Linked DNA regions of Pelodiscus sinensis. The protein of the gene in region 1 binds, or shares a complex with, the protein of each later gene. Links are inferred from orthologs where the notes say so. Each region holds a gene or a part of one and is shown in the gene's direction. Other genes may lie near its edges. The genes, in order: F2, FGA, F2RL2 and SERPINE2.

The links.
Region 2: the proteins of F2 (region 1) and FGA are in contact, whole or in part, in a crystal structure (PDB 2A45), measured with the Homo sapiens proteins. The link is inferred for Pelodiscus sinensis from reciprocal best matches to the Homo sapiens genes F2 and FGA. Residues at the interface, in NP_000497.1 of Homo sapiens: Phe382, Lys384, Ser385, Gln387, Leu423, Arg425, Tyr434, Glu439, Lys440, Ile441, Ser442, Met443, Lys470; in NP_000499.1 of Homo sapiens: Trp52, Pro53, Phe54, Cys55, Ser56, Asp57, Glu58.
Region 3: the proteins of F2 (region 1) and F2RL2 are in contact, whole or in part, in a crystal structure (PDB 2PUX), measured with the Mus musculus proteins. The link is inferred for Pelodiscus sinensis from reciprocal best matches to the Homo sapiens genes F2 and F2RL2. Residues at the interface, in NP_034298.1 of Mus musculus: Phe379, Gln384, Glu385, Leu386, Leu420, Arg422, Arg428, Thr429, Arg430, Tyr431, Arg433, Lys437, Ile438, Ser439, Met440, Lys467, Pro470; in NP_034300.3 of Mus musculus: Thr46, Phe47, Glu48, Glu49, Phe50, Pro51, Asp54, Ile55, Glu56.
Region 4: the proteins of F2 (region 1) and SERPINE2 are in contact, whole or in part, in a crystal structure (PDB 4DY7), measured with the Homo sapiens proteins. The link is inferred for Pelodiscus sinensis from reciprocal best matches to the Homo sapiens genes F2 and SERPINE2. Residues at the interface, in NP_000497.1 of Homo sapiens: His406, Tyr410, Pro412, Trp413, Trp455, Arg456, Glu457, Asn458, Leu459, Glu509, Thr510, Ile542, Asp562, Ala563, Cys564, Glu565, Trp590, Gly591, Glu592, Gly593, Cys594; in NP_006207.1 of Homo sapiens: Val225, Arg288, Ser355, Ala356, Thr358, Thr359, Ala360, Leu362, Ile363, Ala364, Arg365, Ser366, Ser367.

Annotation. Positions count from the first base shown.
Region 1 is NC_134714.1:84,406,365-84,413,843, forward strand, and holds the start of F2 (prothrombin), read left to right. Parts: upstream 1-4,478; 5' UTR 4,479-4,493; coding exon 4,494-4,538; intron 4,539-5,719; coding exon 5,720-5,861; intron 5,862-7,479. UniProt on the Homo sapiens protein: Thrombin, which cleaves bonds after Arg and Lys, converts fibrinogen to fibrin and activates factors V, VII, VIII, XIII, and, in complex with thrombomodulin, protein C. Functions in blood homeostasis, inflammation and wound healing.
Region 2 is NC_134715.1:56,885,648-56,892,722, reverse strand, and holds the start of FGA (fibrinogen alpha chain), read left to right. Parts: upstream 1-4,068; 5' UTR 4,069-4,083; coding exon 4,084-4,148; intron 4,149-6,723; coding exon 6,724-6,847; intron 6,848-7,075. UniProt on the Homo sapiens protein: Cleaved by the protease thrombin to yield monomers which, together with fibrinogen beta (FGB) and fibrinogen gamma (FGG), polymerize to form an insoluble fibrin matrix. Fibrin has a major function in hemostasis as one of the primary components of blood clots.
Region 3 is NC_134716.1:85,336,824-85,344,791, reverse strand, and holds the start of F2RL2 (proteinase-activated receptor 3), read left to right. Parts: upstream 1-4,963; 5' UTR 4,964-5,569; coding exon 5,570-5,633; intron 5,634-7,794; coding exon 7,795-7,968. Other genes in the region: ras GTPase-activating-like protein IQGAP2, read right to left, coding at 1,191-1,281. UniProt on the Homo sapiens protein: Receptor for activated thrombin coupled to G proteins that stimulate phosphoinositide hydrolysis.
Region 4 is NC_134720.1:16,707,833-16,715,431, reverse strand, and holds the start of SERPINE2 (glia-derived nexin), read left to right. Parts: upstream 1-4,597; 5' UTR 4,598-4,729; intron 4,730-7,556; 5' UTR 7,557-7,599. UniProt on the Homo sapiens protein: Serine protease inhibitor with activity toward thrombin, trypsin, and urokinase. Promotes neurite extension by inhibiting thrombin. Binds heparin.

The DNA of each region.
Region 1 (7,479 bases):
AGAGCACTTTAAAAGTTAGCCACAGTAATGCGCTGTGGTATATTTTTTCTCTACCTGCCCCTGATATTTTGGGGCCTGTTAGGAATTATCTGGTACTTGGTATACACCAATACTATCTCTGTACCTTTTAAATTAGCAGTTTCTGGTATTTATTAATATTATACTTTGTCACTGATCCAATGAGCTGTCATACTGTAGTACAGTGATGAGTGATATTTTCACAAGTGCTAGGCACTGCAGCAGTGTTGTGAACTAATAGTGATGAATTATTTTCCAAATAATAGAATTTTACTCTAACAAAACCAGTGCACAAACAAATCTCTAACTTAATACAAAGAAAATACATTAAAATTTACTAAATTAATGGAAAGGAACTTACAGAGAAAGAACTTAAGAACTTTCCTATCCATTTTAGTTACATAGGGCTTTCACAGGTTGGTGTATGTGAAACTGCTGTTGTCCTTAATGTCCTTATGTAGGAATGCTGACAGGTTAAACAGCTCTTGCCAGTTAACTCCAGTGGCAGCAGGGCTGATGGGGTGGGTGGTAGGACCTCATGGCTGCAGTGGGACCCTGGTTACAATAGTTAACCAGTCAAGTACTATCATTTAACTGGCTCACCATTTACAAAAATCCTTACCTTGTGGTTGAGTGGCAGGGGTAAATATGTTTCCTCTGCCATTACGTGGAATGTTGGAGTGTGTGTGAAGGGAGGTGCTGTGGTGGAGTTCTCCATGGATGGAAAAAGGAGACAAGCGCATAACAGCTGAACCTGTAGGTCCACAAGGGTCTGCAGCATCTGTATTTGCTGCCATGGAAGTCCTGTTATGTCATGGTGCATTTCTCTCTCCTTTTCCTGTTCAGACTCCTGAACCTTTCTCCTGTCTGCTCTTTCCTTCTCTAGGCTGCCTATAGTTTTCACCCTCCATGCCCAGATGGTCTGATGCAGCACTGGGTTGCAGAATCTCATTGAACATGTTATACTGACTCTTCTTTCTCATCCTTATCTGGCCCAGGCATCCTGTGTGGAGAAGGACCTCTTCAAGGCAGCAGCTGCAGATAAGCAGCACACAGAGGTACCATTGTCAGTCTAATCATAACAGAAAGCAAAACTTGATTCAGAATGCCCTTCTTTTGCTCCCTGTAACCTTTAACCAAGACGTGCTCATTGACACTTCTGCTTGGGAGAGCTCAGGTGTGGCACCACTCACAGCACCAGCCCTGGAAAGTGTGGGCTGCCAGAGGTGAAGGAAATGGGGAGGGAATTACTCCACTACATGGCACTGGAGTGTAGGGCAATGACCCTAAAAGGTGGCACCATTTTCTGCAGGCAATGGTGCTTTTAGTTGATATCTCACTCCTGAATGTTACAAAGGCACAGTGCACTGCTGCTGGTGTTCCAAAGCTGCCTAGACCCTATGTTGTTAGCCTGTGCACTGCATGGTATCTGCCGAAGTTCTCCGTGAGTAGTGTGGAGAATGTCCTACTGCAGAGGAAGAAGTAAGAAACTCCAGGAGAGCATTGCATGATACCTCCATGAGAGTTTCATCAAGATCTCTCAGGAGGATTCAGGGACCATTACTGTGCACATAAGCAAACTGAGCTGCTGAGAAGGCTCAGGAAGGAAGCTGCTTGGAAGCTCCTGGAGGAGCCACCTGAGAATCCAGTAAATACAGGCCCAAGAAAGGGGCCAGTACCACACCCTGACTTCAAGGGAGAAGACTGAATAGAGCCTGGTAGAGAGCTTGGTGACAGGTGGGCTTGAGAGATGTAGGGCTGTGCCCAGTGGGAGACAAGGATAGGAGAGTCCTTACTGTGAGTAGGTTTTATGTTAAAGCAGACCCTAAGAAGAGGGTTTGTTACTGGACATAAGTGCTGTGGACAGTGAACGGACCCTGAGGCAAGGAGCTGTAGAGCCAAGCTTGGTCTGCAAGTGGCTCTACAGAACAGGCCTGCCCATTTACAGTCCCTTAGGATTATTCTGATAGGTGTCCAGTTTCTTCCTATTTACACTCACCCAATAATTAGGGATGTAAGAGGTTAACCAATTAACTGATAAACTGATGCTTATTGGTTCCCATTAACAGTTAAACTCTGCTAGGGAGCGTGGGAGCTGGCAGCCCCATGGGGGTGGAGATCTGGGAGCCCTCTAGCACCCTTCCCTCCCTACTCCTACATCTCCAACTAGCACATTGGACCATGTAACCGATTACTACCAAGAATGTCGTTAGTATTTTTACTTCCCATTTTGGAATGTTACTAAAGCAGTAGGAAGACCAGACTGCTGCTACTGCTTCTTGTGGCTCTCCTCTTTAAATCCTTTCCTGTACTTCATTCCTTTGTCATGTATCATTCCCCTTAATTTAAGAGCTTTTAGCCAGTTTTTAGGCCAGGCAATGATTCCGGATCCAAGCCAGTTTGAATTAATGTTGAATAAGATGACAGGAGAGCCCATCTCAAATGCTTTGCTGGCACCTTATCACGGCTGGATGCACCCTTATTCAATAGTCCTTATGAAAATAGGCTCAGAGGGGTAGCCCTGTTAGTCTGTAACTTTAAAAATGAGTAATCCTGTGGCACCTTGGAGACTAACAAAAATGTATGATGAGCTTTCATAGATAAAAGAAGTGGGTTTTACCCACGAAAGCTCATGCTACTATGTTTTTTTGTTATGAAAATAGGGTGCAGCTAGGCCCAGTGCTGCTGCTAAACTGTGTGAATGGAGGTTGTTTTTGAAACTAGAATGATTGGTTCAGGATGTTCCCACTCCTGACTCTGGGTGACTGGCCCAGCTCTCTGCGTTGGCAAATATTGACACAGTTACAAAGTGACCTTAATGAAACAGAGATCACCCTTTGTGATCCGGGCATTTCTCCCCTGCTATGGTTCCTGGGGACTGAGGTACAGTTGCAGGAGTCCTGCAGTGTCCTTTCCCCTGGTTTTCAGCCTCTTTTATTCCCTGTGTTGACCCCAGTTGCCTGCTTTCTTCTAGTAAGGCAGGAGACCATAAGCAAGACAACTGAGTGGTGTAGCTGAAATATAGAGATACTTTAGCCCTCCTCCAATGCTGTGGTGTGAGCTGATAGCCTGGGGGCTCTGCTTTCCCATCTAGTCAGGCCAGACCACCCTTCCTCAGTGATAGGAGTCCTGAGGCCACTGCAGTCCTGTAGCTCAGGCCTAAAAATCAAACTGGTTTGTCAAGGTAGGGACTGTAGAAGAGCACAAGGGCTAAGCCTAGGTCCTTGCAATATCCTCTGCCTCCCTCTGACCTGCTGTTAATCAGCTGGGCAAGACCCTCCTGCTCCTGGCTGTGACTTGGAAAGTGCTAGTGTCATTAACCCCTCCCTCTGTGCAAGAGACTCTGGCTGTAGTTCATGGCTCTGTTTTCCTAGCTGTCCCAATAGTGTGGATTCTCCTTTCCATACATCCTCCTCCCTTCTCCAGCCCCACTTCATTTCTCTCTCTAATGTTTTGCTGTTCTCTCTCTAATACATCTTGTTTCCAGGCTGATCTCTGACCCATCATACAACATTCCTGACCTAGGGCACCTCAGCTGTTTCCTAAGAGAATCCTAGGGGGTTATCCCAAACACCCCAGGTGTGACTTGCTTCTTCCTGTAACCCCTGTTCTCAGGTGGGGGAGGGAGCCTATGTAAGTGCTCTTTGTACCCCTAGCCAAAGAGCCATTTCTTTGGCTGTCCCAATACTAATATTTGCACTCCCCCATGTAGGTAAACACTAGTTAGAAGATATATTAATGCATGGACCAGAAAAATGCTCCGTGAATGCAGCGGGATATAGCAAAGAATGTCGTATTGAGCCACTGTCCCCTAGGCTCTAGCAACCCTGTTCTCTGTGCTCTGAGCTTGCTCCATGTTGGCCCTGCTCTGAGGAAGCTCACGCTGGTGATGGCCACATTGCTATTCTTTAATGCGCTATATGAAGCACTAGACCTTTATTGGGTTCATTAGTCATTTTGATTTCACAAATCCCAGGTTAATCCTGCCTTCCTGTTCTCAGCAGCCTCCTCCCCCATGTCTCTAGGCCCAGGGCTTATCTGTCCATCTGCCTAGTTTCTTGCTCGGCAGATTAGTTTCATCTTTTTTTCTTTTTGGTTTCATCTTTTTTAGTACCATCCTAATTGTGTAGGGTAAAAGGGGCCTCCAGCACTGCCCTCTTTGCCCTTTTGTGGGAGAAGGGATTTGGAATAGCTTTATTAAAGTAATTGGAAAGAATTCCAATGGGCTGTAGTAGCAGCTGCTAACCTCCTTCTCCCTCCCCCTGTTCTCTTTGGTGATTGGGAGGGGGAGGGGAGAGGAGCTGGTTTCTCTGGCAGACCACCAGTTATGGTGCTCAGAGAGGAGGGAAAAAATGGAATCCTGAATGGTAGACTGTAACTAAGGCATGGAGAAGGGCTGGGAGAAAGTTCCCTTCCTTAAAGCACTGTCTTTGTGTTAAATTTCTATAGGGATCAGTCCCTACTCTGAGGACATCATGATGCAATGCCCAGCAAGCTCAGAGGAGAGGACAAGCATAGGGGTAGGTCATCTTCATCCTGATTCCTGATCTCGTACATTATTTTAGTGAGGGGTTTGGAAGAGGAGAGCTGGGGGGCCTACCACCGGGGGATTGTGGGATTGTTTCATGTGCAAGGGGCCACAAGGAGAAGAGTGAGTGAGAAGGGGGCTAAGAGGAAATCCAGCCTGAAAACATGATGGAGTAGTATAGGACATCAGAGGCAAGGATAAAAAGTGTAAACTTGATGTGATGGTAAAAGGGAGTTAGTGGGGGATAATTTGGGACTGATGAATAAGGAAGAGAATCTTAGCAGTTGTATTTTGGATGGAGTGGAAGAGTGTGTGTGGGGGGGGGAAGGGGGGAGTATTGGGGAGACCAGAGAGGAGGAGGCTTCAATAATCTAAGATGACCAGGGCAGAGCAGAGAGGAAGGAACAGGAGGATTAGGTGTCTGCCTGGATGTGAGGGGAGGAGTTGTACATGAGGCTATGGCTGTGTCTACTCTGAGATAGGCAGCTGATTCCCAGATCACATATGCATGGCTCAGCTGTCCTGAGTACAAATCCATCTGAACCCATTGGGCAAGTATTCAGCACAAGTATTCTGTGCCAAGCTGCCACTACCTGTGCTACTATGGCCACCCAACTATTTATACTCACACTACTCTTAATGAGCGTGTGTGTGTGTGTGTGTGTGTGTGTGTGTGTGTGTGTGTGTTGGGAATCACATCGGTAGCTCATAGTGTAGACATAGCCCATGTGACAGAACCAATAGCAATGGGGCAAGATGGGAGCTAAGATGGCTTGGGAGAAAAATAAGGAGCTGTTTCAACAATGTTAACTCCAAAGTGGGCTGGGCTTTCCTGGCTCTGCTGCTGGGTAGTCTGGGAGCATCCTTCTTTTTCTGTCTGCTTCTGCTTTCCTGTCATGTGCTGACCCTGGCCTCCCCGCAGTTGAGGCTGCAGTCTCTCGTGTTTGACCTGCCCCCAGTGTGGTGGTCATGACCACACTGTCAGAGCAAGCTAGTGTTGTTCTTGTGGTGTTGTGCTGCTCGGATCAGTAAAATGGTTGAAAGTGAAAATGCACGAAGGGGAGGGAGAGAAGCCAAGCACAGGAGGCACAGCAGGAGCTTCAGCCCCACTGGCCCTGACACACTGTGACCTCCTGGATCCTGTTTCTTCATGTTGGTTCAACATTAACCCAGGCAGGGCTGGGACTTCTCTTGTCCTGCACCCTCTTCATTTTCCCTGCTGCGGGAGCATATACCATGAGGCACAGCAGAGTCCGAGTGCTGGGCAGCCTGCTCCTTTTCTGCCTCCTGCACCTTGGACTGAGCCATGACAGTGGTAAGGACTCCTTGGGTATTGAGGGGAGGGAAGGGCAGGGTGGTAGGAGGCTGAGAAAAACAAATGGGACTGTTCATTCCTAAGCTGCAGCTGGAAGGGGAAGCCTGTGAAAGGTTGAAGGTCCCTGGAATAGCCAGCGGTTTGTTCCAGCTAGACAGTAAGTTTTACATGCTAAAAAATGGGTGGGTGGGAGGTGGGCAGCATAGGGCTTCCCTATTGCTGTGTAAGGAGAAGCAGCAGTTCCCAGGTTCGAGGGAAGAGCTGGATGGAGTTCGGTGGGTAGAATTGTTGCCTGCTACAGCTCATTGGATTTTGTTGGATCATCCTTATTATGACATCTAAAGCCCCTTGTCTTGGAGCATGAAAGAACTTGGGTGGGGGGCAGTATCTTAATCAGTGCTGTGCCTTGTATTGGCCACATATGGAGTTTCATGGGCCGGGAACATTCTTTCTCCTGGTGACGAGTGTTATCTGGAGGTGGAGGGGGGCATGGGGGCGCGGGGCAGGGGAGACAGCTGTTCTCCACTTTGCCCTTGCCCCTCTGGCTCTCAGAGCAACACATTTAGGACAGGCTAGGCCCTATTTCACACCAAACATATACAATATGACGTGTCCTGGTGTCTGGTGCGCCTCCTTTGTTCCGCATTAGTGCTTCTGCTTCCTCCGTCCTGTCTCCCCCTGATGTGGGGCAGGGTCCCATCGGACAGGATCTCCTGACTGTCTCCTCAGCTCCACTGCTATGCAGAGGAATGAGAGAAGACTGAAGCTAGTTTGGAAGTCGGGGTCTCTGAACAGGCAGATGAAATGATTTTTTCCAACATATCCCACCTAGATGGGGTTACAGAAAGTCACGCTTGAGTGAGAAAACCAGTGTCTTTGTGGCACCACAAAGACAGTGAGTTGATGCTCCAAGTAGACAAGCTTTGGCTCAGTAGTGAACTAGATGAGTGGCCTTGCCAAAGTAAATGTACAGGGCAGGGGTGCATGCTTATCCGGTGGGACATCGAGGACTGATCACAGCCTAAGCTCATAGGTTGCAGGCAGGTTAATCCTGTACCGGGCCTCAGGGTGGACTGGATAGGTTCTGCTGAGCTTCTTCCATTCCCTGTGGGTATGTCTACACTACAGCATTATTTCGAAATAAGCTATTTTGAAATAGTTAATTCGAAATAGCTTATTTTGAAATAATGCGTCTACACATACAATGCATTTCGAAATAGCGTTTTGCTATTTCAACATAGCGTGTCTACACTGAGTGGATGCTAAATCGCATTTAAGGCCAGCTGGAACCAGGTCCGGCAGGGCATCAGGTCAGGATTTACTTTGTGTGGCTGCTGCCTGAGGCTATCTGAGGTCTGTGCTTAAAGGGACCCCCTCTGGACAGCCAGAGCTCAGGTTTCCCTGCTTGCTTGCCTACCTCGAAGAGGAACAGCAAAGCATTTTGTCTCTGCATGCTCTGGCTGCCCTCACTCGGGACACCACAACACTCTGAAACATGGAGCTGGAGCTGTCCCTGGGCACTCTGATGTTTCTCTTGGATGTGTTGCTGTGAGCCTGGCTGCACTTTCTGCAGGCTGCCATCCAGGAAGTCCATGGGGGGGGGGGGAGGGGGGCTGTC
Region 2 (7,075 bases), on another chromosome or scaffold:
GATGTTCTGAAAGAGGGTTTTTTCCTGACATTTGGCCCCATGTAGACAGGCCATATGTCGGAAAAGCCTCTTTCGGAAGAAAAGCAGAAAAAGATACGCAAATTGCGGTTGCCTTTAAGTTTTTGAAGCACTCATTTACTGTACGGATGAGTCCCACAAGAAAGCCCATGAGGATTTGAAAAGTGTGCTATAAAAAAGAGCAGAGCCATGCACTGAATGATGAGGATAAAAAAATATCAAATATGAGCTCTTGAGCCCTGTCAGTTCTGCATACCGAATGAGGCTGGCATGCTGCAAGAGGAGGAGGGGAGGGGGCAAATAGCATGTGATCAGATAGTTAAAGACTATATCTTAATGCAAACTCACAAAGGAGCCGCCAAATGAAGACTGCACAGGCTATCTGAATGATGTTTCTCTAAAAATTATTGAGTGCTTTGTTTTGCAGCCTTAGAGATCTTTGCACATAAGTTTTATTTTGTGTATTTTTATGAATTTTTCTCTGTATTGTGGTCTCTGAGCCGAATCCAGACCTCACTGAAGACAATTGGGGTGTGTCTAGACTACAGGGTTTTTTCAGAAAGAGTGGCCTTTTTTTCTAAAAAACTTCCCCTGCGTCTAGACTGCCGGTGTGTTATTTCGAAATTAAATTGAAAGAATGCGGTGGTTTTTTCAACTGTGGTAAACCTCATTTTATGAGGAATAACACCTTTTTTCAAAAGTGCTCTTTTGAAAAAAGGCATTATTGAATGCAAACAGAGCTTTTTCAAAAGAGAGCATCCAGACTGCCTGGGTGCTCTCTTTCGAAAAAGCAGCTCGCTTTTTCTAAAGAAGTGGTTGCAGTCTAGATGCTCTTTTTCAAAAGAGGCATGTAGTCTAGATATTGCCTTGGAGACTCCATGGACCTCAATGGATTTTGGATAAGGCCTCTATTTATCAGTTCTTGACATCAAATTGTCAAAATCCTTTTAGTGTTTTCTTTCCTGGCTTTAACTATTTTGCTTTTCTCTATGTCTTTTCTATTCTAGTGTTGTTATGTTACTTCTGAGACAGAAGGAACAAAACTGAAGAGGATTCAAAGTGAGAGTGCACCATTAATCATATCATGCTGAAGTTAGAAGATAAGGTCCATAATTTTAATGGTATTTTAGAATTGCTGTGCCCAGCATTGCAATACCTCATTCATTTCACAGCCTAACTCTCATTTTCAAAATGGATTTAGGGGCCAAAATCCGATTTTTAGTCTGTGGGATTTGCATCTCTAAGTGCCTATATTGTTTTGAAAATATGGTTTAGGTCCTTAATCAGTTAGATGTTGCAACACCAAGCACAATAATGCCAAAATGCCTTTACAGATCTAGGCCTAAGGAGTCTATTTATATGTGATGTCATGTTTATGCATGAGGATCCTTACATATATTTTTCTGAAGTAATCTGCCAATACAATCATTATAGACTGACCTGAAATTTATGAAACTCCAGTTTAAGGATCATTTTACACATTCACTGCTGAAGCTATAAAAGACTATTTAATCATATTACTCTTATCTACAGACTACACTTCAATAGATAATTTTACCAGATGTAGCATTAGGACCCAATTAATTTAAAAATAATAAATCAAACAGAAAGAAAGACAACAGGGATTTGTTTTGCACATTTTCTTCACCATGGATCAGCTTGATGATCACTTCACTAACCCAGGCAAAGGGTGTTGTCCTTCTTGGAGTCCAACACTAGGTCTGCTTCCAGACATAGTGTATCAGACAAATTTCAACCTGAAGTAAAGCAGGTTAAAATGTGGCAACCATTCAGCCCTCCACTCCAGGGTCACCATGTCCAAGATGCCTACCAATGGTCAACAGTCTTTCTGGTGCAATTCCTATGCCTCTGTTTCAAGAACTTCATAACGTTGGCAATTCTCCAGTTTTCTTGCAGCTCTTCTCCCACAGCCCTCAACTCACATCTTCTGGCCCCTGCAATGTCCCCTCCCCACTCTCCTTTGCCTGTGAGTCCTACCCCTCAGTGCTCACTCAAACTTCCCTCCAGAATCAACCTCATTCCTGGGCTCAGCCTGCCTCTGAGGCTATGTCTATGCTATGGAGAAAAAAATCTGCTGCATCCAGGGAATGCGTCGGCTCTTCCAAAAAAAATTTCAGAAGAGCAGACGTGCTCTTTTGGAGGCTCTGTATTCCTCATTTTATGAGGAACACGGGCTCTTCTGAAAAAGGAGTTTTTTCAGACATTTGGCCCCATCTACACGGGGCCAAATGCTGGAAAAGCCTCTTCCGAAAAAAGAATCGGAAAAATGTATGCAAATTGCGGTTTGCAATTTGCATACCTTTTTCCGAACCCTCCCTCCCGTCCCCCAGGAGTGTAGACATAGCCTGAGACATAGCCTGTTCTTTAATCCAGTAGGGAGGTTCAGCCAATGAAGTTTATAAATACCACAAGCACAGTTGTTCACCATCAGAATCTATAAACTCTGCCAGTATTTAAAGTATGCTCATGTCTCTGATCAATATACAATTTCATGTGAACTGAAGAACCATCCTTATTAATTCTTTAGCAACCTCCACATGGACCAGATTTTAATAACAGAAGTCTATAAGATTTCAGAGCCCTAAAAAAAAAGTAAAGAAAGGTGAACCAGTAAAAGCATATGAAATATGCATATGATATGAATATGCCATAACTCAGATATATCATAACTCAGATATGCTGAATGCAAGATGGCTTGTGTAAAATGTTATTGGAAAGGCTATAATTTACTGATTATCCCCATTTGTACATATGTATCATTTTTGTAGATTAAGTTAGGAATATTGACCTGGGTATCTGTAATTTCATATTTACTGCTTTGGGTGTTACGCACTGCTGACGCTTCAGGTACAACAATGAAAGAGGTCATAGTGCTGATGGCTCATCAGCAAGAGACAATGAACTGTAAAAGAGCTTTCTGGAACATGAGAGTCAGATCATGAAGAATGGCTGCAGAGACATGTAATGGAAGTATTGTAAGCAGGATATGAGAAGTCATTCTTCCGCTCTACTCTGTGCTGACTAAGCCTCATCTGGAGTATTGTGTCAAGTTCTGGGCACCACATTTCAGGAAAGATGTGGAGAAACTGGAGAAGGTCCAGAGAAGATCAACAAAAATAATTAAAGGTCTAGAAAACATGACCTATGAGGGAAGACTGAAAGGACAGGATTTGTTCAGTTTGGAAAAGAGAGGACTGAGAGGGCACATGATAGAATCTTTCAAGTTCCTAAAAGGATGTTACAAAGAGAAAAATTAGTCTCCTCAGTGTCTGATAATAGGACAAGAAGCAATGGTCTTAAATTGCAGCAAGGGAGGTATAGATTGGACATTAGGAAAAACTTCCTAATCTTCAGGGTGGTTAAGCACTGGAATAAATAGCCTAGGATAGGGATATAAAAGAGTAGTAGAATAGTCAACTACCCAATAAGCCTAGGCTACTTGCATCCCTCCCCCCCTTGCTGCCTCTATATCTGGGAGGGAGCAGGAGCCAGTACTGGTGAGATCTGGCTTAAAAGCCGGTTTCCCCTAGCACTGTCTCTGCAGTGCGGGGAGGGGCGGGGGCAGAGGTGGGGAAGCAGAGGCACAGTGGCCCTGCAGCTCTGCCTTTTAAATATAGTAAGAGCCACAGAGGTGCAGCACGGGATCCGGTGCAAGCCAGGACTGAAGTAGTCCTTGCTCGCGTCGGATCCAAGCAGCTCTCACTACATTTGAAAGGCAGAGTTGCAGCAGTCTGGACTCAGCATGAGCTGGGACTGAAGCAGTCCCGGCTTGCGCCAGGTCCCAGAACTACTCACCCTGCAGCTCTGCAGTTTAAATGTAGTAAGAGCCAGGCTGCCTGCTGGAATACTGCCTACAAAATACTGGAACCCATATTGATTTCTGTACTTTTCCATGAGAAGCTGGGTGTGAGTCAAACTTGAAACAAAGGACTCCCACCTTAAATCCTATTTAAGGGTGGGGAGTGAGGTAATCTTAGTTTTCAGTCCTCCCTGGCTACCTCAACCAAGATAACTGTTGGAAACAACTAAGTATGAACTGAGGGAATGATTGGGCCCAGGCTAGAAGGGTGCCTGGCCTGTGAGGGAAGACTATTTGAACCACATTTAGGGTGAGATCTTACATATAATTAGTTTGTTTACTGAATTTATCTTAGCCTGCATGTTTGTTTATTTTGCTCAGTTATCTACTTTGTTCCGTCTGCAATTAACCTAGTGAAAATAATTACTATCAGAGGAGGGGGAAGGAACCTGTGCATATCTCTCTTTACCTTGAGAAAGAGGGCGAATGTCATTAGCTTACACTGTATATATCTCTACACAGCCTAAGACAGATTTAGTTTAGATCTCAGAGGGACTGTATACTTGATTGCTGTGGAAAGGTCTCACAGGGTACGTCTACACTGTGACGCTATTTCAGGATACCTCCGGTATCCCCAAAACAGCTATTCTGTGTTATTTTGAAATCTAACGGGCTCACTATTCTGACGTCCTTGAAAACCTCATTTCATGAGGATTAAGGGATGTTTCAGAATAGTAGTTTATTACAAAATTTGGCATTGTGTAGACAACGCCAAATTACAAAATAAGATATTTTGAAATTAACTTGAAATAAGCTATGCAATGTGTGTAGCTCAGATTGCGTAGTTCATTTTGAGTTAAGGGTGCAGTGTAGATGCACCCATACTGTACTGCTTTCAGACTGTGTCTGCAGCGTTGGGGTTTTGCCCTGTCCCTGTGTCTCAACTGAAGCAGGCCAAGAGCTAAGCTCAACAAAAGAGGGTTATAGGGTGTCCAGGCTGTCAGAGGAAACAGACTCAGTGGTGTCTCAGCACGTCAGGTGACAATCTGAAGGGTGTCCCTCCTGACCCATCACAAACATATTTTCTTTTGCCTGACAACCAAAGCTCTTTAATAATGCAACGGAACCTTCATAGACTAACACATTTTGAATAAAAAGATATGTTGAAAGAACTTTTTGTGTTACCAGGTTATTCGTTTAACTAGTTTCTTGTATAATGGTATGATCAAACATATTGATATAATTGAAATTGTCACCATGTCATAGGATTTTAGGTAGGGTGTGTTCATTCTAAAAATATTTCTCCTATGCTAAAGCACTCACTTCATTAAAATTATGAAAGTATGCACTATATTGCCATTAAATCAGTGATATTAAACAAGACTAAACCAATCCCTGTTTCCCCAGAAGAAAAAAAAATGACTTGAGAGAAATAACCCTACTACCACCAAATCCTATCTCATAATATAGGACTGTTCTTATATTTTCTGTTCTTCACATTTTCCTTTAGAAGTGCCTGGACCTTAAAGTGCATGGTCTACATACAAGCAAGTGTCATTAGAAAACAGCTTTATCCTCTGTTTCTGCTCCCAGCTATGTAGAGGCACCAAGCTGCTGTACAATTGATGTTTATAAATCAATGTTTATTTCAAAGGAATAAAGTGGAAAACAGGACACGGGATGCTTACTCAAGGAAGATTTACTCAGTCATATTTCTTACATCTACTAGTGCAAGTTGAAAACCATGTAAAGCATTTCATACTGAAGTTTTCTTTTCTTTTTAATTTTTAATTATATTTTAGTGTCCAAAGAACATAAACCCTGGGACAAATGTATTTCATACTAACCAAACACAGTTCAATTATAAAAATGTGTGAATAGCACTCTTTAACATCTGTAGAGACTGTCTGGTTTGTCCAATATACATGGCATTGTTGGCACATGATGGCATATATCACATTAGTAGATATGCACGTGAATGAGCCTTTGATGGTATAGCTGATGTTGTTAGGTTTTCTGATGGTGTCACTAGGATAAATGTGTGGATAGAATTGGCAATGGGGTTTGTTTCAGGGATAGGTTCCTAGATTAGTGTTTCTGTTGTGGGGTGTGAAGTTGGTGAATATTTGCCTCTGCTCGGGGGGCTGTCTGTAAGTGAGGACTGGCCAACCTCCCAACGTCTGTGAGAGTGAGGGATCATCATCTCTGATAGGTTGTAGTTTATTGATGATGTGAAGGAGAAGTTTTAGTTGGGGGTTGTAGATAATGGCTAGTGGTGTTCTGTTGCTTTCTTTGTTGGGTCTGCCCTATAGGAGATGACTTCTGGCTTTATTTGACTTCAGAGTGAATGTTGTCTGAGACTGACACAGAATCATGAAATTGGCAGAGCTGAGCATGGGTCTTCCATAAAAATATCTCTCAGTAACTGGTTTATTTTGATGACCATATAGTTCTTGAATTAACAATTATTAGACTATGATCTTGCTTCTTTTACTGCACTAAGTAGTCTCTCTGACTTGATGTCCATGGAGTGTGATCATACAAGTAGGAACAATTTGGTGATTTTTTGACTGCTTAGTCATGCTATTTAAATACCAGATTTACAACATAGATATCTTCCAGTGGTTAAGTATTATTGGATCTTTTACATGCATGTTATTCCAAAATTTAGTTATCAGAAACTAAAGCTGTAGACTTTCCTGGAATGTGTGTTCCTTCCTCCCACTCCCTCCACTTCCACCCCCGACTGGCATTGCACAAATTTATCTAGAGCAAACAAACTCAGGCGCTTGTGCAAGAGGCCTCAGGTAACCAACTGGGGGTGGGTTGCATGTAACTCTGCAAACAGAAGGGAACATAATGATTAATCTAAGCTATCCATGAAGGTTTAAAATGAAGCAAAAAAAACAAGTGGAACGTATCCTTTCTGTCAGACTCCTCCTCACCCTGCCACTGAAGATGATACCGCTGAGGATCTTGTGCATGTGGCTGTGCCTCAGCATAGCCTGGGTATGATTTTACTTTATTTGATTCTTTTGATAGTTTGGCTTTCTCTTTTTAAAAAGGGGCATTTTTATTGAATGAACAGTCACACAGCAAACTGACAAAATTCTCTTTGGTTATGAGGTAGCTTGAAAAATTCACACACGTACACATGAACACAAGTCTCACCACTTCATCACCGGCGTTTCCCTCTTGAGTCTCTTCTGCATTTTATTGTCTGTCTGGTTCCTCAAG
Region 3 (7,968 bases), on another chromosome or scaffold:
TTGTACCAGTCAGTTCCCAAGCGTGCTGGACTAGAGAGGTTTAACCTGTACTTATATCAACCACAGAAGTACAGGATAAATCAGAGTAAAGCAAGCCTATGAAGCAAGTCAAAATACTATAGGTATTAGACAAAAATATTGACAAATTACCTAAAATATGAAAATTTTACTTTAAAATGCCATTTAATTCTTAGGCGGGGGAAGTTGGAATGTAAGGGATTTACTGTGCCAAATAGTGATTAAAGTGCGTTTCACATAACCAAGAGATACACGCTTCAATTAAAAAAATTCCAGCACTTTCAGACCAAAGACAGTAAATAAAAAGCCTCTTCAAGACGTCACAGCTTTTCTCCCACGGTGTGTCAGAAAACCAATGTTTGTCTCCAGCTGAATCTTTAACTACTACACAGCATTCTTGATTTGGAATTCCTGTACAGTTTGCATATTTATAAAATCTTCAGATTTGTTTATATTCAGTCTTTTAAAAAAGTTCTGACATTGTACATATCCTGGGTTCAATAGCATAACTACTATCTTCTTATAGATAGTAAGCAAGCTGTTTCATTCTGAATTGTCATTTCACCACCACCACCAACAACAAAAAAACTTGAAAATAATTTGAAAAATTAAGGGCAAATGATTAAGTTGGAGTATTTACTGGTATTTGTTAAGAGTCATTGTTTGGAAATCAGAAATCTGACTAATCAAGGCTGTGACCATGTAGGAATTCAGGTTGCAACACAGGTCAGGATTTCAGACTTATGTACAGGACTCCTTACAAGTGTTTTCCATTACTACACACAAACTTGTCAAACAAAGTCTTACCATTTGCTTCAATTAGTCTCATTGAATCTATTTTCATATCTATACAAGGGAAATTAATACACAGTATTTCACCGGCTCTGAATATGTATTGGCATTTGAAATCTGTTATATCATTTCAGGCAATAGAGATAGTCAAAATTCCTAAATAAAACACAAGGACAACAGTTTGAGAGCTAATTAAATTATTTTACATTTAAATCTTATTTTAATTACCCTGAATCTTTCTTTAATGAAAATAGGATATTTTCCCCCTATTAACTAACTTGTCCAACATACTAAATTGTATATGAATAAAGAAAGTTAGAAATCTTCTCTTTATTGTGAAAAAAAATGCAATTTCCATGTAGATTCAGGTTGATACTTACAATTTGCTGCTTTTTCTATATTCCTATTAGCATCGTTGATTCCTTTTTGTATTTCATCCAGCCAGAGAACTGGTGATTCATCATGTGATCCCTGGGGCAGATTAATAGAAAAATATTTACAGAACAGAAAACACAAGTCAATCTGAAAATACACACTATTAAAGCATCAATAAATAAATAGAAAGCTCTTCTGAAAGCCTGAGGGGATACTAAAGAGAATTTGGCTATATGAATCTGGCAATTAATACAAATAAAAGAAAAAAATTAATCTATTTTTCATAACAAAATGCAAAGTATCATTTAACATCTGAAAGCTCGGATCATTTTTATTCCACCAAAGAAAGATGTAGATTTCTGAATAAAGTTAAAGACAATTCAATATCCATAATTCACCAATCAACAAAGGAACAGAAGAATTCAGTAAGACCACTAGACAACAATATGATTTCCCCAAGGACAGCATAAATCCAAAAGAAGTTTACAAAAAAAGTTAAGAGCTTTGAAAGAATAGTTAACTGGAAACCATGTATATGTGCAGACAAAAAAAAAAAAAAAAAAAAAAAAGAATAAATAAAAAAAAAGAAGACCTAAAAAATTGTCAGTATGAACTTTATAGAAAGAAAGCTCAGATTTAGTAATGCCAAAATTGCTTTAGTTTCCTGAATTGTTTGAGAACATGAATTAAGGACGAGGGCAGGCATTTTTCATTAAAATCTACCAGTTATCAAATTTTACCTCGTATGCAATACACTTCTTTTGTGCACCCCCATTTGCAGTCCAAGCTTACGGCATTTGGAGGTTTAAATGCCTAAATACACAGACAAACTGAAACAGCAGACACGATTTAACACAGAATTATGGGCACAAAAGAGGAGATCTTACCAAGATCAGACTGAAGTTAAACTCAATTAAGGTGTTCTTAGTGCATTCATCACCAAAGTAACTGTGCACGGAAAATCTAGGATGGTGTGTTTCACCCAATTTCTAGCATGCACATCTTAAGTTTTGGGTACAAGAGAAGCAGAAATGCGAGAGGATACTCCTGCCAGTGATCAGCTTAAAAAGCGGTAGATGGTACTGCAGGGAAGATTGCTGTAGGGGGTATTTAAATAGCTTCAGTGTGCAGGAATCGAAGTCCACACCTATTAACAACTGTATGTGAAAAGCAGACATAACAGTAAAGAGAGGAAATAGGCTGTGTGAAAGCTCTTTTGTTATAAATGTGAAACATATTTGTGTGGTAAGTGTGACAAGACATCTATCCATGCGCAACATATGTATGTTTTTGATTGGCAGTTATACATGAATTTTCTTATCGTGAAGTGTATTTGATGCTGATAATAGAGAACAGAATAAACTGATAGTGAAAAATCCTTAAATGGCAGAAGAAAAAAAAAAAATCAACCTCTCGTTTAGTTACTGTAATGTTTTTCTCTTCTTCTCCACCACAAGTTTGTTATGAAATTTTACAGCAAAAACAACTGTAAGCTTGTAGAATGCATTGCTGTTTGCTTTTTTCTTTATAAAATTACAACAATCTCACATTAGTCTCAGTATTTTAATTCCAGCATCCAGTTCAACGATTTTTGAACCAAACAAACTTTTAATTAACTCATAGTACACTTTACTTCCTACGAACTGTAATGTTAGGCACAAGCTATGAAGGACAAAGATTTCTGAATACAAATGCCTTAGAGAATCAACTATACCTCAGACTCATTAGGAGGTGTATGCTGCAGCTATTACAAATGAAAATTACATTGCTTAAAAGAGTACTATTGAATGATGAGTCAGTATTAAGGGTCACTGAATTTCAGCTAGAACCTTGGGATTGGGGAGTAAGGACTGGAATATAATTCCCATGGTTGCAATTTTCCTCAAGAATTATAGTGCTGGTAAACATACAACTCCTGGGCCAGATGATAATTTGTTCACTTAACCTTACCAGTAAGATAGGTGGCAACCAACATTGCACAGCATTTTGCAGTTGCCTGCTGAAAGCTGTCATGTGACACACAGGAAGCTTTAAAAAAATAATGTTTGTTCGTTCATGAGTAGGAACTGCTTAAACAAAGCAGATGGGACATGAACGACAGCCTATAGTACACAATGTCAACTGATGACTACTGGGCCGATGACAAGCTAGAATGGAGCGCTGAGAGTCTGGGGGTATGTTTACACTGCAGAGTTTTGTCGGAAAAACAGCCATTTTTCTAACAAAACCTGAGTTAAGTCCACGCAGTAATTGTGTTCTTCCGAAAGTAAGTCAAAAGAACAAAGGGTTTTTTCCGGCATTGGTAATCCTCTTTGAGGAAGAAGCCTTTTCCGAAAAAGCTCTTTCAGAAAAAGGCGTATGTGGACGGGGATGAGGGAGCTCTTTTGAAAGAGGAGGAAAGAGGAAAAAACACAGATGCCCTTGTGGCCACTCTGTCCATAATAATCATAGCTTAAATGTGAAATAGCATCCATTCAGTGTGGACGCTATCCCTCGAAAAAGCAGATTGCTTTTTCAATGCGCTTTGGGTGCGAATGTAGGGATAACATATTAAAGTATTAAAAATGATTCCCCCAAGTGGAAGTGACTCCCCATAATTTGTTCCCCACAACTAAAAGTCTAAGTAGTATAAGTTTGTTAAGTAGAAGAAGCATATAAAAGTGTTTAGATTTATTCTTGTTAAAGTGCTTAGATTTAGTGTTATCAAGCTTGATAAGTGTTTAGATTTATTATTATTATTATTAGTTAAGATTGTTAAATGTTTAGATTTATAATTATTGCCCCTCTAGAATATAATTTGTTAGGAATGTAATATTAGGTCATGCAACTTAAAACTGTTAAAAATATAATACTATGTAGCCAAAAACAGCTCCCCTCTCTGTGTCCCAGGGCGCACACAAACTTTTGCAAGTGGCTGCTTGTCAAGACACTAACTACTCTGCTCTGGGAGCCAAGCCCTGTAATTGACTAAGGGCCTTCTCTTCAAAGCATTGTAAAGCAATTAACCCTAATCGCAAAGTGAAACATTGTAACTATAACAGTAACTAACTCAGCAATCAAAGAATGTTTTAAGAAATGCCACCCAGAAACTTTTGTAACTTTTTGTAACTACAACTCTTGTACATGTAAAATTATTATTATACAAAATACTGTATGTGAAACATTAATTAGGGAATGTATGTAAGAGAGAGTGCTTGGACAATGAATGAATGGTTTGAGAGGTGCCAGCCTGAGAATGCAGCATCAAAGGGCTGAAGAAGGCATCAGGTGCCAGTGCAACCAAAAGGTGTCAAGTGGAGAAAAACTGGAGACTGGAGGTCCACCCTATGAGATCACTGACAAGCACCTGGCAGCCACCCTGAAGACATCAGCATGATGCAGCAATTCCCATAGACTGGAATAGGAAGAAATTCCTGTAAAGATTGGACCAAAAGACTATGGAGTCAGAGTCCAAAATTCTGCTGCCAGTCCACCAGGAGCTTCAGATGCGCATCTGATCAGGACTTCGCTCCCCACTACCATCACTTGTGTACAGAATACCTGGCCAGTATTCTGTCACAAGCAACTTCCAGGTTGGTAACTATAACCTGAATGATTGGATGAATGTGTGTGTGTGTGTGTGTGTGTGTGTGTGTGTGTGTGTGTGTGTGTGTGTGTGTGTGTGTGTGTGTGTGTGTGTGTGTATATATATAAATAAATAAATTATCTTTCCAATAAATGTGGCTTTTTGCCTTATCCCCCCTCATAAGATCCTGCTTGCTTTTATTGGTACAACATGAACGCGCTCTCTCTTTTGGAAGAATTTTTTTTCAGAAGACCTCTTCAGAATAAAAGTTCTGAAAGAAGCCTGCAGTCTAGACCCAGCCTGAGTGAAACATGCTTGTATTATTGTTATCTAGTACTCCCTATCCTGCAATGCCGTTGTTCCCTGTTGTAATTAAGTCTGTAAGCTTCTAGGACATGGACTTTCTTTTTACTACATAATAGCACAACAGGGTTCTAATCTTTGATTGAGAACATCAGGTATCAAATGCGGTCTCTGAAGATTTTAAGCACCAATATTTTCTTCTGAATATTTTCATGTATAAATTCAAATAAAGCAGAAAGACTAAAAAACGTCATGGTAAATTAGGAGTTAAATTACAGACATTAGAAGAGATTAAATTGCTTTATGTCAGCCAGAGGGTGAAACTGAGTCATGTGTATTTACATATTCAGATGTCACACCCTATTGCTGTACTTGAGAAAACTAGTTAAGTATGATCGTGGAATGCTTCTGGACGGCAGACCTAAAAACCACAGGGTTTTATTAAAAGATGTGGATTACAAAACATTTTCAACTGAATTAGAGAGACATTTTGCCAACTGGATTTAACCTGCAACAATGAAAATATTGGTTTTAGTAATAACTGGATTGCTGTCTCTGTCCTCAAGTCTACAGAAAAAAGGTAAGCTTCTGGTTCTAGATGTATTTTATATTGTCTGTATATTTTAGCTTATATCATGAGCATTGGGCTTATCTTTTAGATGCTTATGTCAGTTATAATACCCCAACAGCTGATACACAGCATACAAAGTCCCAGCTGAGACAGATTTTGATTTCTCTACTTCATTTATCTTTTATTTCTCCCCAGTGACCCTTGATAGTTTTGCTAATTGATAAAAGGCAACTAACTGGTTTTGTGTTTACTGAAATGTGGTTTTCTGCATAATCTACCTTCTACTACAGTGCTTGTTCCTATAGGGATGTCACTGTACTGAATCTGTGGAATCGCAGCCTGTGCATAGAAAGAGGAAATCATAAATACAGGATTAATGCTTCGTAGAAGGTGCCACTAAAAGGAAAAAACTCAGCTGATGGGGCAAATTTGTATCAAATACCTGGGGGGGATGGAAGGGGATTACAAATCCAAAACATTGGGCCCAATCAGAGTGTCACTAGAATTTGTGGGGAAAAAGACAATGATTTCAGTGGGAGCAGAACTAGTCATTTTCAGAGATAAATTGCTTTTGAATTTATTTAAACATACACTGATACATAAGTCTCTTTAAAGGGAAGTCAGGACCAGAGATTTGACTAAAAATGATAAAGCAGGGGTGGGGAACCTCAGGCCCGGGGACCTTCATCCAGACTCTGAGGCTCAGGGCTCCCCCAGAAGTGGGGAGCCTGCGCTGACACTCCAGCCCCTCTGCTTCCCCACCGTGGGGTTGAGGCACACCAAATCTTCGAGGCTGGACCCCTCCCCTCCCTCCAGGCTCTGATGTGGGAGAAAAACGTGGAGAGTGTCTCTAACTTGTGCACGGACCCTGACTGATTTTTCTGTGGGTCAGTGGCTCCTGCCACAAAAAAAGGTTTACCACAGGGGTGGGGAAGTCTTACTCAAATCCACTTCCTATGCATACACCGTCATGGCTGCCCATTCTAATTGTTTGTAATGTTTGGGCATAAGTATCATTTCCTGTAATTTATTTTTAATCCAGAAGAAATTAGTTATGTCAAGTTAGTATAAAAAAGTACTAGGATTCAAAGATTCATACAGGACTGCTCTATACCTTACATTTTGTTCAGAATTTTGGAGCTAGGATTTTATTATATAGTTGATTAACAGCAAAAACTTCATTATGGCCACAAATTCCAAGTGAAAGATGCAATATAGGTGCAAAGTAGGATCATTGCTGGTTTGCAATGATTGATATTTTAAAGAATTTAGCTGACATGTTTCGAGAACAAAATGTTCCTAGACATTCAAAAAGGTGCATATACAAGGCTGAATATTTTTGCTATGGATATGCCTTTACAAAATTCTCTGATCACCATTACCAGGGTTGTTGACATTATTAGAAGAGGCTAAATATACCCATTAATCTTTGACTAGTATGAGAATGTTTACTTTTGAATACAATTCTGCAAAGCTACAAAAGTGTAATGAATTGTATCATGGTTTCTTCATGCTAACAGGAGGGAATCTGGTCAAAAAGTAAAAAGCCGAAGAAGCTAGCTTTATTAATTTATTTAAAAAGAGGATGAGGACAAGGGTTTTGGAAGTTATATAGGTATTCAAAGATAAAAGTGTAAATGTTTCTAAGTGTAGTTCTAATTTGAAAAATGTGTATGTAAAATGGCACCATCTTAAACATATTTGCCTTTTGCATAGTTATATGTACTTGTTTAAGTGACAAAAGCCACTATTTTATTCCTGTTTGCACTGCTGAGCCAATACATTTGAGGTCACATGAATCAAGAAATCTAGTCTCTCTCTGCGCACTATCAGCATGGTTTAGCAAATTGAAAAAGATACACCTGTAGTTTTTGCTAGCAGAATTATGGCTATTCTTAAAAATAGGAAAAATCCAGTGGCATATTCAGGGCTGAGAGTCCATTTATAAATAAAATTATGAGGGGTTTTCCTGACCATGTGATATAGAAATCAGAGACAATACCCCACAAAGCCATTTTTATAGAATCATTCTTCAGATTAAAGTTACAGTATTTATTTCTCGGGGGCAGGGGAGGCGGAGAGAGGAGAGAAGGGGGAGAGGGAGATCTGCATCATGACTGTCCCAAGTAAATACCTTGTATTTTAGCTATTTTCTTTTTTTAAATCTTAGAATCTAAATACGGTCGTAACAGCTCTGCAAGTCAAGATGTGCCTGATATTAAGACCTTTCGTGGAATACCACAAGGCACTTACGATTATATTCCCATTTCTGATATACAAGGCTGGACAAAGACTGTTCACAACAAAGAACATAAATGCTCTTCAGGGAAGTCAAATGGCTCAA
Region 4 (7,599 bases), on another chromosome or scaffold:
TGCGTGACTCCTGCATCAGTTCAAATCCAGTTCATTAGTCTTCTCATTGTAACCACTGATACTTTTTTACTTTTATTTTTATGGTGAAGATAAGGGAGTTAAAGCATTTTTTACTTTAATAAAGAATTGATATCTGGTTCTAAATATAGCCTTGTAACACATTAGATATGAGCATGAAGTTTTCTATTATTTGTTTATGTAAAATTTTGGTGCACATAAGTATCTTTCATATGATTGAATTCAAATAACAAGATATATATTCAATTCAGACCTACATGCAAATTCAGGGCCAAATCTTGTCATCCTTTCTAAAGAAAACTTCTATTGAAGTCACTGGAGATTTTGCTTAAGTAAGGCCCGTAGGATATGGCTCATTAATTTTAGCTTACATGCAAAATCAATCAGTGCTAATACAAAATAAGTGACAGGAGTGATGCATGATATTTTCTTTACATGCCTGTACAAGTGTTAATAATTTACTTTATAATAGGTACTAGTACAATTATGTAAGACCATTAGTTTATTAGAAAAATAGTGATTACTTATCTGGGCTGGAGGCTGCTGCCCTCTGGTACCTGATCTTATATTGACTGTGCACTATGGCAACCAGAAAGGGGAAGGAACAAGGCTGCTTTCTAGCAGCATAATTCCAAGCCTTTGTTTACAGCAAGCAGCGTTATAAATACAACTTAAAACCATTTCAGGATAATTTGGTTGAAACACTCTTGGTTGTGTCAACAATCTGTATTTAAGCAGACCTCAAGTGTAAAATTTGGATTCCGATTCAAACTTTGCCAAAGGTTGAGAATATTTAAAGGTGCAGTTTTGGTTTGAGTCTTCAGAGAATAGGGGACGCTTCCTAATGGTCCATACAGCTGGTCAGTCACTTGGTTCTGGCTTCTTAGCCTTATTCCCAGAAGCTAAATCACATTAAAGTGTTGTTAAAAATACATTCCTAATATTAGGCTGTGTGTACACCAGAGGGTTTTTTTTGGAAGAATGGCTGTTTTCCTGACAAAACTTCACTTCTGTCCACACTGCAATTGTGTTCTTTCAAAAAAAAAAAATCGAAAGAACAGAGGGGTTTTTCCGACATTGGTAAACCCCTTTCCACGAGGAAGAGCTCTTTTGGAAAAAGGCGTGTGTGGACAGGGAAGAAGAGCTTCTTCCAAAAGAATAGGAAAGAGGAAAAAGCACAGGTGCCCTGATGGCCAATCCGTCCATAGTAATCACAGCTGGAATGCAAGATAGTGTCCATTCAGTGTGGACGCTATCTTTTGGACAAAGCTTTTCAGAAGATCTCTTCCAGAAAAGCTTCTTCCGAAAGAAGCCTGCAGTCTAGATGTAACCTTAGTTTTCTATACTTGTCATATGTATGCTATGCAATCATGAATGGAAGATGAGGGGGATCACCCATGGAAGGAGGGAACGCATCCATGAATCAAACTTTACATTAACATTTGGTCTACATGAAAAAAGAGTTTGAGAATCACTGTATGACAAATGCCAAACTATTTGAAATTCAAGGGGTTTTAAAATTTTGCTTTAAACTCAAAAATGGGTCAATATTTGCAGACAATGTCACTAAAGTGTGCACATTTTTCAGAGGGGGAAGAGCATTTGTATTGAAAGCTTTCAAAAATACCCATTTTGGAAGATACTGCCAAAGCTAATAAAGCAAAACATTATGGAACATTATCTGTCCCCAACAGGGGGAGGTGAGGATTTTGTGGGGCCCAGGGCAGCACAATTTCTCGGGGCCCCCCTTTGACACGGCACATGCACGGTGACGCCACGGCACATGCGCGGGGCTTCTTGAAGCGTGGATCCCAGCACCGCTTGCCCTGCCCTATATCCGCTACTGGTCCCCAAATCCCAGTCCATATTGCCTTTCCACTGGCCATTTACTCAGTTGTTCTGGAACTGAGGGCACAACAGAGAGGGACAGGAAAATTCTCCATAGCGCACATTGCTGCAGAGATTCTGGGGTGCTCCAGATTGTGCAACAGTCCATGAGCTGCCCTGAGGAGGCTGCCATAAATTAAAGCATCCTCCTGGCTGTTGTAGTTTATGCAGGGTTGTGAATACAAAAACCCAATGGTGTAAAGATGGTTTACACCATTGTCCCTTTTTTGCTGGGCAGAATCTCCTTTGCTGTGCCTGCAAAATGAAAAAAAAAAAGTGTAACTTTTAAACAGCTCTAATATGTAAACATGACTGCTACACTCTACCAGTCTCATAAAATGATTATTTGTTTAGCTTGCCAAAGACCCAAGTGGTATTAACAAGGCTGTCAAGCTCAACAGGGCTGTCAGCCAATGTTAAGATTAATGTGTGTTTCCCAGCATAATACTTCCTCCTTGTCATGGTGCCATAGATGGCATCACACTGTAAGAGAAAGGCCAAAGCCCCCTCAAAACAGAAAATCAGCCAGCTCCAGGTAGTGACAGTTGCCCCGTGACAGAACAACATGAGATTGAACCCATACAAAGTGTATGTGTGCCCTAGTTTAGATTAGGGCGTTTATTTAGAAATAGCTACCTTATTTCAAAATAACAAGTGGAACATTCACATTACCAAGCCCGTTATTTCAAAATGGGCTGGTTATTTTGAAATAATAACTCCTGCTTTCCATGAGGAATAACACTTATTTTTAAACTTACAGACTAACTCAGCTGCCTCCTGAAACTTATTTTTAAATAATTATTTTGAAATAGTGGTAGTGTGGACACTCCACTTCTGCTACTTCAATAGTGGACACACTATTTTGAAATAGTTATTTTGGGAGTTACTATTTCAAAATAACTTATTTCGAAATTTCCTAGTGTAAATTTGAGATGAGGTGGGTGAGGCAATATCTTTTATTGGACCAACTTCTGTTGGTGAAAGACACAAGCTTTGGACTGTGCACAGAGCTCTTCTTCAGATCTGTTTTCAAACTGAGTAAACTCTACAGCTTGTCTTACCAACTGAAATTGGTCCAATAAAAATACTACCTCACCTACCTTGTCTAATAATCTGAGACTGACAAGACAACAGCAACAGTACATAGAAAATGTATGTGTGTGTGCTTCATTAATTTATTCACTGCTGGACTAAAAGGTGTGGGAGGGGAAATGATAATTTTACCTGCAAATAGAAGTAAGGGAGTTAATAAGGCAAGAGGGGAATAGTTGGGAACAATCCAACAGCAAGGAGGATTATCTGAGGCTGAGATGGGGGAGTTTAGTACAGAAGTGGAGTGAGGAGTGTTTTCAGGTTGGAGTTCTCCTAGATAGGTGGACTGGTGAATCTGAGGTAAAGATGAGCAACCTTTCACACAGGCAAGACGGTGAAGAATGTGGAGCAGGGAATGAGGATTTTGGAAAAGATGGGTGGGTGTTCTCTGTATGACAAACCATGTCATGGGTAGGGGAGGAAAACAGACTAGGGCACTGATGAAGGTTTTACCTCCTAAAGTTTCTTCATTTTATTACAATTTATTTTCAAACTTTTCCTAGTAATTGTAAGGGATTTTTGAGGTTTAGATTGCAGAACTCCCATATTGCCCATGTGCTTAATCTCTCTGCCCCTTCTTACTATACTGTAAGAAGTACTGCACTACAAAAACTGTCAAATGCCCCTGTGCGAGGCCACAGAGGTGACAAAAAGTGCAGGGCCACATGTGGACCAGATGAGACGGGCTGGGGCTGCGGGTGGGGTTTCCCTCAGAAGGGGGGGGCTAGGGTAGGCGAAAGACGGTTGGTTGGGGCAAGGCGTTGGGTTTTCAGAAGGACCGGATTGGGCGGGGTCTAGCAGGGAGGGCGTGGTTTGGGATGGGGCGGGCTCTCGGTGGGATTGGGTCTTCCCGAGAAGGCAGGATAGGGGCGGAGTTCTGCCAGGTGGGGAAGAACTAGAGTTTGCTGAGGGGTGGACAAGGACATAGGGTTTTATGTTCTGAAACCCACTGGCTGCTCTAGTGTGGAGTAGAGCTGCTGCTGACTCCATATCGTGTTTCTATTTGAGTGATGTGAACTGGAACCTTCAAATGGGGTGTATGGATACCAAAGCCCTCCTACAGGTCAGATGTAGTCAGGTGAAGGGTGTGGTCCTAGCCTCCCCAAACCAGCAATGGTGGCTCCTGCGCTAGCTACCACAAAAAGGTTAAAAGTGACTGGTAGGTGTGTTCAGGATCATTTTAATATGGCACTGGGAGGGGGAATTTGGGGCAAGCCACAAGGGGGAGGCTATTTTTGGGTGGCAATAGAGGCGGTGGGGGGCCGAGGGGGATATTTTATGGGAAGGTTTGGGGGTGTCCCAAAATAGAGATTTGGGAGGGGAACAGGTGTCAGGATCTGTTTCAGAAAGGAAGAACTCAGAGAGGGAAGGGTACTGTGAGGGCCACGTGTGGACCAGATGAGGCTGGGGCTGGGGCTGCGGGTGGGGTTTCCCTCAGAAGGGGGGGGGGGGGGCTAGGGTAGGCGAAAGACGGTTGGTTGGGGCAAGGCGTTGGGTTTTCAGAAGGACCGGATTGGGCGGGGTCTAGCAGGGAGGGCGTGGTTTGGGACGGGGCGGGCTCTCGGCGGGATTGGGTCTTCCCGAGAAGGCAGGATGGGGGCGGAGTTCCGCCGGGCGGGGATAAAAGCCGAGCGCGGCAGCCGCGGCGCTCAGTTGCTGAGGAGATTTAAAGGGACCGGGATCGCCGCGGCGGAGCCTGGGTTGCACCGGGCGCTAGCAACAGGGAGAGCAGGTGAGAGCCCGGTGTGGGGACCCGGGCGGGCCGCCCCCCGTCCCTTGTGTGAGTGCGGGGGTTCCGGACGGCGTCCGCTGCTAGCTCTCCGTGCCCTGGGGCCGCGCCCAGCCGTTCCCCGTCTTCTGGCAGCCGGCGCCCCCCGGTGCCTGGGGTCCCCTGACTTCCTGCCCCGGGGCGCGGTCTTGTTCTCCCCTTGGGTCCCCGAGGCCTCGGGACTGAGGCATCCGGCCCCGCGCTGCCTATCGCCTGCCCTCCGGTGGCGGGGGGCCGGCTGTCTTCCCTTCCCCTCCCCCACTGCCCACCCCGGTGACCGCCCCGGCTCGTGCAGGGCGGCTGGCGCTACAGAGCGGCTGAGTCTTGCTCCAGCGGTACTTCCCCCTCCCTGTCCTGGGGCATCCGTGCCGGAGCCCCCGTCTGCACTCAGCCAAGGCCAGGTCCGCCCCACGGAGGGTAGCGCCAGTGGGCGCCCGGGTGTAGGCCAGGTGCGTGCAAGCTACCTGCGCTTTTTGTCACCTCGGTGGCCTCGCACAGGGGCGCTGGACGGTTTTTGTGGTGCAGGTGTGGAGAGCCATTGACCCAAACTGCAACCCCGTGTTTGATGGAAGCCACTTCCAGCCAGGAGGTGCTGCTGCATCACCACCACCTGTCCTGTGCCTAACAGTGGCAAGGGATTAAAACACGACCTAGGGCACTTAGTTTAGATGACACCTACTGTGGCTACTGTCATTGTGGAAACAGTGGGAAATTGCTCCTAAAGAAACTAGAGTGGACACTACTGAATATTTGTGGTGTTGTTAATATCAAAATACTGACAATAAGGAGGGCCATAAAAGACCGGACTTGATTCTCTTTTCGCTGACTCCCACTAAAGCAAATGTGGCTATACTGGCCTTCTACAGATGTAAGGAGGACACAAAGAGGACCCCTTTAGGAAAGGGCAAGAGAGGGAGCTATTGGATTAACACTTGATAACCAATCTTACAATGCAGCTTTATACTGTAGCATGTACTGTGTCTTCAGAACATTATCATGATCAATAAAAAGAAGAATTACAAAGCTTAAAATAGAAAAATGAGAGGACAGGGAACTCTGAGGTATAAGAAGGCGAGAAACATTCTTTCTGATTATACTTGGAAATAGATGAGAATCTGAGCTGGGCATATATAGGAAACTGTTCTAGTCTAGCAGGATAACACCCTAATAAAATAAAGTTGATGTTAATTTATGGGCATACTGTATATGCCACTAATGATCGACTGGATAAAAACTGAATGTTTCCAACCGTGTTGTTATTCTTTAATACACGTCTAAAAATCATTTTAAATGTTATTTTTATTTGTTAATATTTATTAAATATCTATCTGTATGTTAAAAACAATAATTAAGATTTTTTTTCTCTAAAAAGAATTTAAACAAATTGAATGCATACAGTTGAAGTGCTGGACAGCCACTTCTTTGGTGGAGGGCACTAATCAACTGATGCACAGGGGAAATCTTGAGCCAGTAACACAAGAACAAATCCTTGATCTTATGAAAAATGCCATATGATATTTATCCTTCTAACAGACAGGATCTTTGTTGTGTGGCTTTTGTTCTTAAAGATTTATGACCTCCTGTTCTGTATAGAATTGTCCAAATTCTCTAGAGAAATTTTGTTCACTGTTCTGGAGAGTACATATGTGGAAAATCTTCTACATGGAATATTTATTGGCAATTATAATTTTGATAGCTCCCACCAACATCAACTAACTGATCATAGGAGGAAGTATTAACATAAGCTTTCAACAAAAATTGAAATTTGGCTTATATTTGAAAATTTAAAGCACCATGCAAGTTCTAAATATTATGTGGTTCAATTGCCTAGATCAGTGTTTCTCAACCAGTGGTGCAAGTAGGGGTATTCGAGAGAAGTCTGGGGGGCACGTCAACATAACTGAAATTTGGAGAAAACTGAATTTTTGTTTTAAATTTTACAGTGCTTTATTATATTTGTACTTTTTACACCCAAAAATTTCATCACCTGCCCTGCTACAGTTAAGTTGTTTAAACAAATATGTTGCAATGGTAGAAAAAAAATTCTGTCTGCAAATTATGGTACTGGGGGGTACTTACCTTTTTTAAAAAAAAAAAAAAAAAAAAAGCTACTTTATAAAAAAAAAGATTGAGAAACACTGGTCTAGATCAGCCTGATCTGTCTTTTCTAGTGTATTTAATGCCACCCCATGTTACAGAAACAATAGTAACAAAAGGAAGCTGCTGCATGACTGGGGTACTTCTGACTGCTTTATTTTTTTGTTTAAGTATATAGCGTCAGCTTAGTTTTTTAACCAAACTCCCAAGAATCAAATAGCTCTAGGCCCTGTGAGTTAATTTAAAGATAAGTCCTAGAGCTATTTAGTGCCAGATCTCACTCCCAGCACTACAAGAGGTTGTTGGTCCAATCTAGTGATGGATGGATTAGTCTAATTTAATCAATACCAACTTCTTCAGCCAGTTAAAGAATAGTGTCTTCTTGTGGTCCAGGAAGACCTTTTCAGGCCCAATTTAATCTGAATCTCAAAGTATGTGTGTGTGGGGTGGGGGGATGTTTTGTTTTTGTTATGTCTGGAGTAACTTTTCTTTTGGCAAAGGCGACAATACATTTATTAACTTGTTAGTTAACAACTAACTGGTGGTGGAGAAATACAGCGAGGAAGATGACCAGGATTTCTTGTCTGGAGTTGGGTAAACGATACTACTTTCTTAATGAAATACAAAAGAAAGACTGAGTATATATCTGAATAGCAAATTGTAGTTAACTAGAACTTTTGTTCCTTATCTTTAGAGCCGTGCAGATCTGTGGATATCTGCTTTATATCTGTGGGCGA